Arabidopsis thaliana: one gene and its partner. The protein of the gene in region 1 interacts with the protein of each later gene in a pairwise test. Each region holds a gene or a part of one and is shown on either strand. Other genes may lie near its edges.

Evidence for each region. The genes of interacting proteins can lie anywhere in the genome.
Region 2: the proteins of AT1G71480 (region 1) and AT4G38150 interact in a two-hybrid assay, tested with the Arabidopsis thaliana proteins (one large-scale study listed by BioGRID).

Annotation. Positions count from the first base shown.
Region 1 is NC_003070.9:26,929,382-26,934,418, forward strand, and holds AT1G71480 (Nuclear transport factor 2 (NTF2) family protein), read left to right. Parts: upstream 1-2,470; 5' UTR 2,471-2,697; coding exon 2,698-3,036; exon of another isoform or gene 3,037-3,086; intron 3,087-3,125; coding exon 3,126-3,240; coding exon of another isoform or gene 3,241-3,245; intron 3,246-3,320; coding exon 3,321-3,402; coding exon of another isoform or gene 3,403-3,406; intron 3,407-3,496; coding exon 3,497-3,548; exon of another isoform or gene 3,549-3,642; coding exon 3,643-3,705; 3' UTR 3,706-3,932; downstream 3,933-5,037. Other genes in the region: AT1G71460 (Pentatricopeptide repeat (PPR-like) superfamily protein), read right to left, coding at 1-935; AT1G71470 (uncharacterized protein), read left to right, coding at 1,405-1,543, 1,776-2,032; AT1G71490 (Tetratricopeptide repeat (TPR)-like superfamily protein), read right to left, coding at 3,945-5,037.
Region 2 is NC_003075.7:17,900,070-17,904,611, reverse strand, and holds AT4G38150 (Pentatricopeptide repeat (PPR) superfamily protein), read left to right. Parts: upstream 1-2,329; 5' UTR 2,330-2,492; coding exon 2,493-3,401; 3' UTR 3,402-3,516; exon of another isoform or gene 3,517-3,640; 3' UTR 3,641-4,042; downstream 4,043-4,542. Other genes in the region: pde191 (Mitochondrial transcription termination factor family protein), read right to left, coding at 708-816, 892-935, 1,217-2,200; AT4G38140 (RING/U-box superfamily protein), read left to right, coding at 4,307-4,542.

The sequences.
Region 1 (5,037 bases):
ATCTTTTCTTCACTAATCATCGTCCTAAACAGTCCCAACGCTTCCCACTGCCTTTTATTGTGAGCCAATCCAGCAATCATCGCCCCCCAAACAACTATATCTCTCTCTACAATCTCATCAAAAACTCGACGTGCAAGCCCTACTTTACCACACTTAAAATACATATCAACAAGAGAAGTCTTAAGAAAGACACTATTAAACAAACCATTCTTAATCGCAAGTGCATGCGTCTTCAATCCCTGTCTCAAAGCAGATGCACCAGCAAAACTCTTAAACACATTAGATAAACTATAAACATTCAAATCAACACCAAGCTCTCTCATTTCTGTAAACGTAGAAAGAACATCTTGATACCGCTTCTTCCCTGATATAACAGTCCCTCTAAGCAACGCATTCCAAGAGTAAACATTTGAGCTAGTACTTTCATCGAACACCTTCTGTGCATCTTTAACCGAACCACAAGCAGTATACATATGAACAAGCTTGGTCCTTAGAAACTCATTACTCTCCAACCCATTAATACGTATATGAACATGGACTTGTTTACCGTGAAGCAACGACTTCCGGCGAACACACGCCTCTAAAAGAGCAGAGAAAGTTGTCGCATTTACAGGAATCCCTCTCTGTTCGAGATAATCAAGAATCGTGAGAGCGACTTCGAGATTGTTCTGCCTCGCAAAAATTTGAATATCTCTGTGGATAATGTAGGGGTTCTTGGAGTGGAGAGGAAGAGAAGAAGGGAAAGCATCTCTTTCCCTAAAAGGTTTCGGCTTTTTGGCGGGAGAAGTGGAAGGTCGTCTAGTTCTGCTTGGTCTAATCGGAGATTTCGCCGGAGCGCCATCTTTATCGGAACGATGAGGACGGTGGTTGAGACTCGTCGTCACGGAGAGGGACGCCGGGAGGTCTCGGATTCCGAGAGACGACACTACTTCCATTGTGACCACTAACCACTTGATTAAGCTAAAGGTCGTTAGTATTTATATGTAGCTTTAAACTATTTTTATAAAGTATGCAATTGAAATTGAAAGCTAATATTTGGGCCAGAAAATTGAAATATGGGCTTAGGGCCCCCAAAACAATTGTAGCCCATCAGTTCACACACGGTTTCGTTTTTAAAAAAAGCATGTATTTAGAATTTATTGGCTTTTATTTTGGTGGTTGCTTCAATCTTCCTCGTTTAAAAACAATTCATGTCAACTTGGACAAGTTACAAAAAAAACGTTTCATATTTTTGTCACTAAAAATATTCAGTTAAATAAAGTAATTGACTCTTCGTTTTCCCGACGATACTGTATAAATAAACATCATGTTTCTACTTGTTCACATATCGACTCTTTGTTTGTCCGATTCTATCTCTCTCTTTAGAAACTTTATCTAGTCTCTTCGAACTTAATCTTAACGACGATGGTGCCGGTTACGATCAACTCTCCACCTAAACCTGAATCATCCGAAGAAGAACTCAGCGACTCCCAAGTTTCCAACTCATCGGAAGACGACGACTCAATGGAAGACGAACCATCAGACTCTGAAAACAACAATGGAGGTACATGCATGCATCACTCTCTATTTTATTTCAGATTTTTCACTTCACCATTTCACATGTTTCCACTGTAAAGAAGTTGGAGCGTTTGTTAAGAAATACTTTGCATGTTCATGTTCTGTTTGACTGTGAGGTTTCAAGATTATTACGTTGATATAAAAATCTTAAAAGTGATTAAGATAGTTTTTGTATCGTATCTTTAATACTTTCTTAAAAAAAAATCTTATGTCAATAGTTGTTACAGAAACTGAGGCTAATGGTATTAAAGATGAGTTTTGGGCTCGGTATCCATCTTTGAAGATGTTTTTAAGTAAGGAGATGGTCAAAGAATTTATTTCTGAAGAGTATATTTTGGAGAAAGGTAAGCTTATTGGAGATAATAAGGCCAAAGAATTGAATGAAAAATGTGAGGTTTTGTTTATCAAGGAGATAGAGCATCTCATCAACAAATATCGCTTCATGGCTGATGTTTTGGAGTTGTTGTTTTTGTGAGAACTTTTCGATAGTGACGTGCATGGCTTGAGTTTGATTTTCTCGTTTTTATTTATGTTATAATTATTGTGTTCCATCTATGAATGTAAAAGATTTATGAAGGATTCGATTTTTTTCTCTTTTTTTAAAGATTATTATAAACGTCTTTCATAACCATCTCTTTATTCATTATATGTTCAGGAGTGAAAAAACAAAATCTAAAAAATAGGGTTAAATGTTTGCTTAGCTTCTCTCTTTATGTAGATTTGAGAACCGATGAACAAGAATTTACTGAAAATATATCATTGATCTAAAAATTATGAAAAACAATTCAACTTTTTATCCACCAACACATATTTTTCTTTACTTTTCTGTTCTGCTACGCATTACCTAGTCTTATATTTCGAAAAATTATAAAATCTCATTTCACAACTAAATTAAAAGTATCATTTCACAAACAAATAAGATGAAATGATGATAGAAAAATCATCAATTAATAGGAAAGAGGATTGGAGTATACTTCTATTGATTGTTACAGTATCCACATGGCATCGATAATCATAGGGACTACTAATAAGAATTTCTGTCCACAAATTCCAATTGAAATTCAAAATTCAACTCTTTGCTCTCTTAATCACAAACACAAATGAGCCACAAAAACGAAGACATCATATCAAGAAACGACGATGAGCTTCACTGCTTCTCTCGTCTCTTATTTGACGTCTCCCTCACTCGTCTCGCTCAACCATCTTCCTCCTTCCTTCTTCCTCCCAACCAAACTTGTCAAGCCAACAAGCCTCACTCATTCACAGCCTCCGAGATTGTCCGCATCCTATGGTCCAGCTGCAAAAGCTGCTACAGCCAACGACGTTGTTCCAGAAACAGCTCCGACATCAGCGTCGGAGGTCGTCTCCAGCTTCTACGCCGCCGTTAACGTCCATGATTTATCCTCTGTCACAGACCTCATCGCTCAGGACTGCGTCTACGAGGATCTCGTCTTCTCATCTCCCTTTGTTGGCCGAAAGGTGAAACGATTATTATTCTAATAAACCAAAGTCTCTTCTTTTCAGACTTTGTTGTGTCTCAGAGCCTAATTTTGATAAAGCCATGACAGGCAATTCTTGATTTCTTCGGAAAATTCATTGAATCAACAAGTACGGATCTCCAATTCGTGATAGATGATATCTCAACAGAAGACTCTTCAGCTGTTGGAGTTTCATGGCATTTAGGTTAGTTTTTAACAGACTCTTTATGATTTAGTCGTCTATGTTTCTCTAATGATAAGTCGTAAATTGGAGATTTTTGACAGAATGGAAAGGAAAGAACTTCCCATTTAGCAAAGGTTGCAGCTTTTACCGGTTAGAGGTGATTGATGGGAAGAGACAGATCGTGTAAGCACACTTTTCTCGACAGATCGTGTAGACTGACAGAGATGCCAATTTTTGTCTTGCTGGGATAAACATTTCTTCTCTGTTTTGTTTGCAGATATGGAAGAGACTGCGTTGAGCCTGCAATCAAACCTGGAGAAACAGTTCTGGTAACATGAGCTACTATCAATTTTGATTGTGTGGATGTGTTTGAAATTGCAGAGGTAATGAAGATTTAACAGCTTTTGCATTTTGTGTATTCAGGCTGCTATAAAGGGAGTTACCTGGCTGCTGCAGAAATTTCCTCAACTGGCCGACCAATTCTGATGGCATTACAAAGCTCTTGCTCGATGAAGTGAATCAGCTCACAATATAAGTTTTCTTTGTGTTATATAGGAAAAATACTTCCGCAGCAATCCCCACCATTGTCCAATTTTAGTTAATGTATATACTAGAACTTGTCATGTGTATCCAACTTGTTCTCAGTCTGGTGATATGCAGGCGTATATAGACTATGTGCTATTAACTAAATAAAGCTCCAGTTGATCATCCTCAGCTCTTCACCTTCATCCCATTTCTTGAAGAAGTTCTTCATCTGAACTTTGCACCTTATTGATGGCATAACCAGCATTGTCTTTCATCAGCTGATTCAGTCCATCTAATAGAGGATAAGTATTACATGCTTCAGGGCTTGATGTGTCCCCCACCGAAAACAGTGAAAATCCAGAATCTGTGTCGATCCAAGCACAGCCAGGATCCTTTTTCACACCCAAGTCCCTCATTATAGTCCTCACTTCAGCAAGCTTGCTCCAAGAACCAGCAGCTGCATACATATTTGCAATTAACACGTAGTATCCCGGGTTCTCTGGCTTCATCTCCAGGAGCTTTTCTGCTGCCCATTTACCAATCTGTGTGTTCCCATGGATGTGACACGCGTTCAGTAGGGTAGCCCACGTGGCACCGGATGGCTTATATGGCATATTGTGAATTATGTCTTTGGCTTTTGCTAGGAAACCTGCTCTGCCATAGAGATCAACCATACAAGAAAAATGTTGAAGACAAGGACGTATACCATACTCACACTGCATCTTCATAAACAGCCTTTCACCTTCATGGACTAACTTGGAATGACTGCAGGCTGATAGAACTGCAACCACGGTTACATGGTCAGGTTTAATACCAGATCTGGTCATCTCCTTGAACAGGGCCAAGGCTACTCCCCCTTCACCTTGATTTCCGTATCCATCTATCAAGGAAGTGTATGTTACTTCGTCTCTTTTGCTCATCAAATCAGATACTTGCTTTGCAGCTACAATCTTTCCCGATTTTGCATAAACATCAACAAGGGAGTTCCACAGCATTGTATAGTCCTTGAAGCACTTGCGCCTCAGGATGTAGCAATGAAACTCTTTTCCATGTTGCAGGTTTGCAATCCGAGCACAAAGAGGGAGAATGCTTGCTAGTGTAATGGAATTTGGCTGAAAGCCAGCAACCAACATCTCCCTCAGCAGGTGAGAGGCTTCTTCTGATTTGTTCAGCTGCGCATAACCGGAAATGATAGAGTTCCAAGTACACAAACTATTTTCTTCAGTCTGTCGAAACACTATTAAGGCGTGCCTAAGGTCTTTGCATTTTGAGTACATTGTGATCAACGTGTTT
Region 2 (4,542 bases), on another chromosome or scaffold:
CGCAAGATATGGCTTTAAAACCCTAAACTTGTAACTGTAACTGAATCAATGGCTTCCGCGACCGGACGGAGTACGCTTTAAGGTTTGCTGTTGGATCCAACCGAACTCGGTGACGGGTTTGTCTATCTAAGCCTACACTCTCCTGCCGTTTTTATAACATAAAACGGCAAGCTGTTAGTTTACCATAACCAATGTTGCGAGTTGGGACTGGTAGGCAGGCCTAGTCCTTAATTTTGGGCCCTTAAAATAATAAATTAAGTCGGGCCTATTTGAGTTTTTTGGTCCGTCAACAAACAATTATTGAGTGCTTTAAACAAAGAAAACTACAAGGCTCGAAAAGGCACGTAGGCCCAACAAAGCAGAAATGCCGAAAACATGGCACACAGGCCCAAAATAGAAAAAATCAAAAAGGCACAGAAGCCCAACAAGCAACCACAAGAAACAGCGAACTTCTTCTTGATTCAACTTTGATCGGAAAAACCGAAGAACAAAAACACCAGTCCAAGGAGAGAGAATAGAATAGCTACAAAACGTGAATAACAAAAGGGACTCTACTTGAAAGAGCATTTGAAGCAAAAAAAAACTTTCAAGTTTGGCCGGTTTAAAATACGGTTGATCTCATCCAAAAGAGAGAGCAGAGGGGGTTTCATTTTTATATGACAGGTACATACTATATAGGCAGAGAACGATCAACCATCTCTTTGTCATCAAATGTGACCTTTGACTAGGGGCCTCCATATTTGTGGAATGACTAGGGGCTTTTTACCCACCCATACTTCCGACAAGCAGCTAGACTGCATTGCTGCATATTCTGTTCTGCAGTTAGGCTAAGCAGACACTTCTTTTGCTTGTCGGTTGCTGCAATAATCACAAGCCAATAATGACACTGACTTATCCAACAACATATACATCCCATTTTGATTGCAGTTGAATACCTGAAAACACAGGAACCACTCTATGGATATGCACTTGATCGGGCCATGGTGGTGGTTCTATCATAATTAGGTAATTTTCAAAAGGAAGTGTAGAATCCATGATAAACGAATGCATAGTGAATAATCGATGATATCTGGAAGAAAACACTCTATTGATATCACAATCACTCAAGGAAAAGCTCGTGCTAGAAATTGGTGCACAAGCTGAAAACAGCTTACAGAGAGAGCCTGATGAAGGAAAAAACTAGAGAGAGATATAAAAGCTAGAAGCTTGCAGTTACCTCCGAAAAGCCAAACTTCTCATGGAATTTCTTTGTGTTACAGTCCAGCATTTCTCTAAGGCTGCAGTCAATGTTGTTCTTTTTGACAAGTTTAAACCTCGATTCGACCTTCTTCTTCAATCCATGGTGAAAGAATTCAGGATAAGAAGCCACTTCATCCATGCCTCTTCCCATCACCTGGACGAGGAATCTGATCCTAGGCTGTAGTGAATTCTTAACACTCTTAATCAAGATTTGGGGATAACCAGTGACCATGGTTGCTATCTGGGAATCTCCAAACCCACACTCCTTCAAATAATCATAATTTGGTTTGAGAATCTTGTTAACGTCTCTGCACAAAAGTTGTGGGAAATTCATGACCACCGACTTAATGCCATCCTCACTCAGGCCAACGGATGATTTCAAGAATTCAGTGGTAGGCCGTAACCTTTTATCAACACTGTACCCCATAAGAAATGGGTTCTTCACCAGAACTTTGCCAATCATCCCATCTTGATCAAGGCCAAGGCTAGCAAGAAAGCTGACGATCACTGTCAGCTTGGTGTCGATGCTGTAGCTGATAAGCCTTGGGTTAAAAAGTATCATTTTGCCAAGTTGAGTCTCAGGCACACCTAACGCTTGAAAGAAAGCAAGAAGGGGACAGAGTTTCTCCTCCACGCTATGAGAGAGTATTGGAGGAAATTTGGTAATGGCGGAAGCAACTTCCCGAGGATTCCTTCCAAGACTGGAGAGGCACTCGACCATCGGGATGAGTCTCTCATCGAGGCGTAAAGTCAGGATTTTGGGGCATCGAGAGACGATGTAAGGGAGTTTTCTCTCTTGGATACCAACAATGTTACTCAGGTAGTCCCAGTTTTCTGATGCCACATCGCTTTGAGCCTTTTCCAACTGTTTGCATTTTCTCAACATCTTGTCGATACTCGGATCATCGAAACCTTTGTCCCTGAAGAACCACATGATGCTGCTCGTATTTGTCACCTCCATATAAACGCCACTACAACACACCAATTTTGCTTAACTTAGAGATGATTCGAGCTTTAACAAGGAAGTAGAGAGGAATTTACCTTGGAGGAGAGCCTTTCCGGCTATCCAATTGAACTGAAAGTGAGAAGCTTATCCACACGGAGGAGTGAGGACCTTCTTTCTTTCTTATACCCCCTGTAGAGTAAATGACTGTTATATCCCTCAATCCTTCTCGCGTGACTAAACCCTCCCCTTCTTCTCTCTCCGTCAAAATCTGCAAAACCCTAACTTTTCGAATCAGCGGCAGATAACGATGGTGCCTTCCTCCAAAGCCGTCGTTTTTGCAAGGCAGATGGCGAAGCAGATTCGTGTTACGACGCCGTCGATGTCCGCAACACGCTTTCTCTCAACGGGCGACAATGGTCAAGTAGACGAGCAGCAGAACCCTCCAGAGCCCTTACCCAACAGACCCTTGCGAGGGGAGAGATCTTCCAACTCTCACAGAGAACCACCCGCTAGACAAGCCCACAACCTTGGAAAGAGTGATACTACTCTGTCTGACGATGGCTTCCTCGAACAGTTCAAGCTTGGAGTCAATCAGGATTCACGGGAAACCCCCAAACCGGAACAATACCCGCAGGAGCCCTTACCGCCGCCTGAGGATTCCGATGAGATCTTCAAGAAGATGAAGGAAGGAGGTCTCATCCCTAACGCCGTCGCCATGCTTGACGGCCTCTGCAAAGATGGGCTTGTACAAGAGGCCATGAAGCTTTTCGGATTGATGCGTGACAAGGGTACAATCCCTGAGGTCGTTATCTACACTGCTGTCGTTGAGGCCTTTTGCAAGGCTCATAAAATTGAAGACGCTAAGAGGATTTTCAGGAAAATGCAGAACAATGGGATTGCCCCTAATGCCTTCAGCTACGGTGTGTTGGTTCAGGGATTGTATAATTGCAACATGCTTGACGATGCTGTTGCTTTCTGTAGTGAGATGCTTGAGTCTGGTCACTCTCCTAACGTCCCCACTTTCGTTGAATTGGTTGATGCCTTGTGCAGAGTAAAGGGGGTTGAACAAGCCCAGTCCGCTATTGATACCTTAAACCAAAAAGGATTTGCCGTTAATGTTAAGGCTGTCAAGGAGTTCATGGATAAAAGGGCTCCATTTCCGTCTTTGGCTTGGGAAGCCATCTTCAAGAAGAAACCAACCGAGAAACCCTTCTGATTTACTTACGCAGTGCTGTTAAGTATGCCGTCTCAGTAAGATGTTTTCTTGACTTGTAATAACAACCTTGAAAGTGAAAATCAATATGAGTCTTCCTTTTTCTGCTTGGAGTCAGGTATCGAGTTTTTTTTTTTTTCCTATGTCCTTTAAAAATGTGTAGTTGTAGATGTAGTTCCCTGTTTTCATGCATTCTAATATTGATTGCAAGTTCAATGAATAGCGTTGTGTTGGCGGTATAGGGTGTCAAATTATGCTTGACGCTTATCAGTCATTACCAATGATGTATGTGACTGTCTATTGCAAATGTGGCCGACTTCATGAACAAATATGAACAATAGTATCATTGGTTACATACACCAGGCATAAAACTACATCATCCTCCAAAGGCACTGCTGATCTCAGGGACGTGGAGGTCTGTTCTGTAGAAGCTGGCGCTATATTGAATACAAAATGCGTGGAGTCAACATTAAAATAGTTTTTATGATTCACTCGGAGATCTTTACTTGATTTGGTCGGCTGTATTATATTCGTGAACTCGGAAGTCAAGGCCTGTCTTGATGGAAGAATGACTCCTTACTTTTAATATATATATAAATAATACACTGGATATGAATGCCATCTTTTGTTTGTTTACTTTTGGCGTCATGTGATTCTTGTATTGTTTACTATTGTTAAATGCAAGTATCAGGTAGTGCTTAAGATGGAAGCATGTGCATCTCGTATGTTGACCATAACCTCTCCAAGAGTTTTCTTGGAGTTGGGAGAATCGCTGACTTGATTAAAGAAAAACAACAAAAGAATATAATAAGAGATGGGAGGTGGGGTCGGCGCCGTCCCTACTCGATGATATTAGTCTATAAAAGAGAGGGAAGGAATGAGGTAAAGAAGCAGAAAGCTGGAGAAAGATGATTTCAATGTTGTTTCCGCGGTCGCCTTTGTGCACAGCAGCCATAGTATTCTACACATGTGTGTGCATTCCCTTGGGGAGGTTGAAGAAGAATGGTGGAGATGCGGATGCGCATGATGATGACGGTTACAACCTAGTGGGAGTGATGTTTGGGGACAAGGAAAAGGAGGAGGAAATTTGCTGCCCCATATGCCTGGTGGAGTTTGAGGCTGAGGATGCGGTGACCCATCTTCC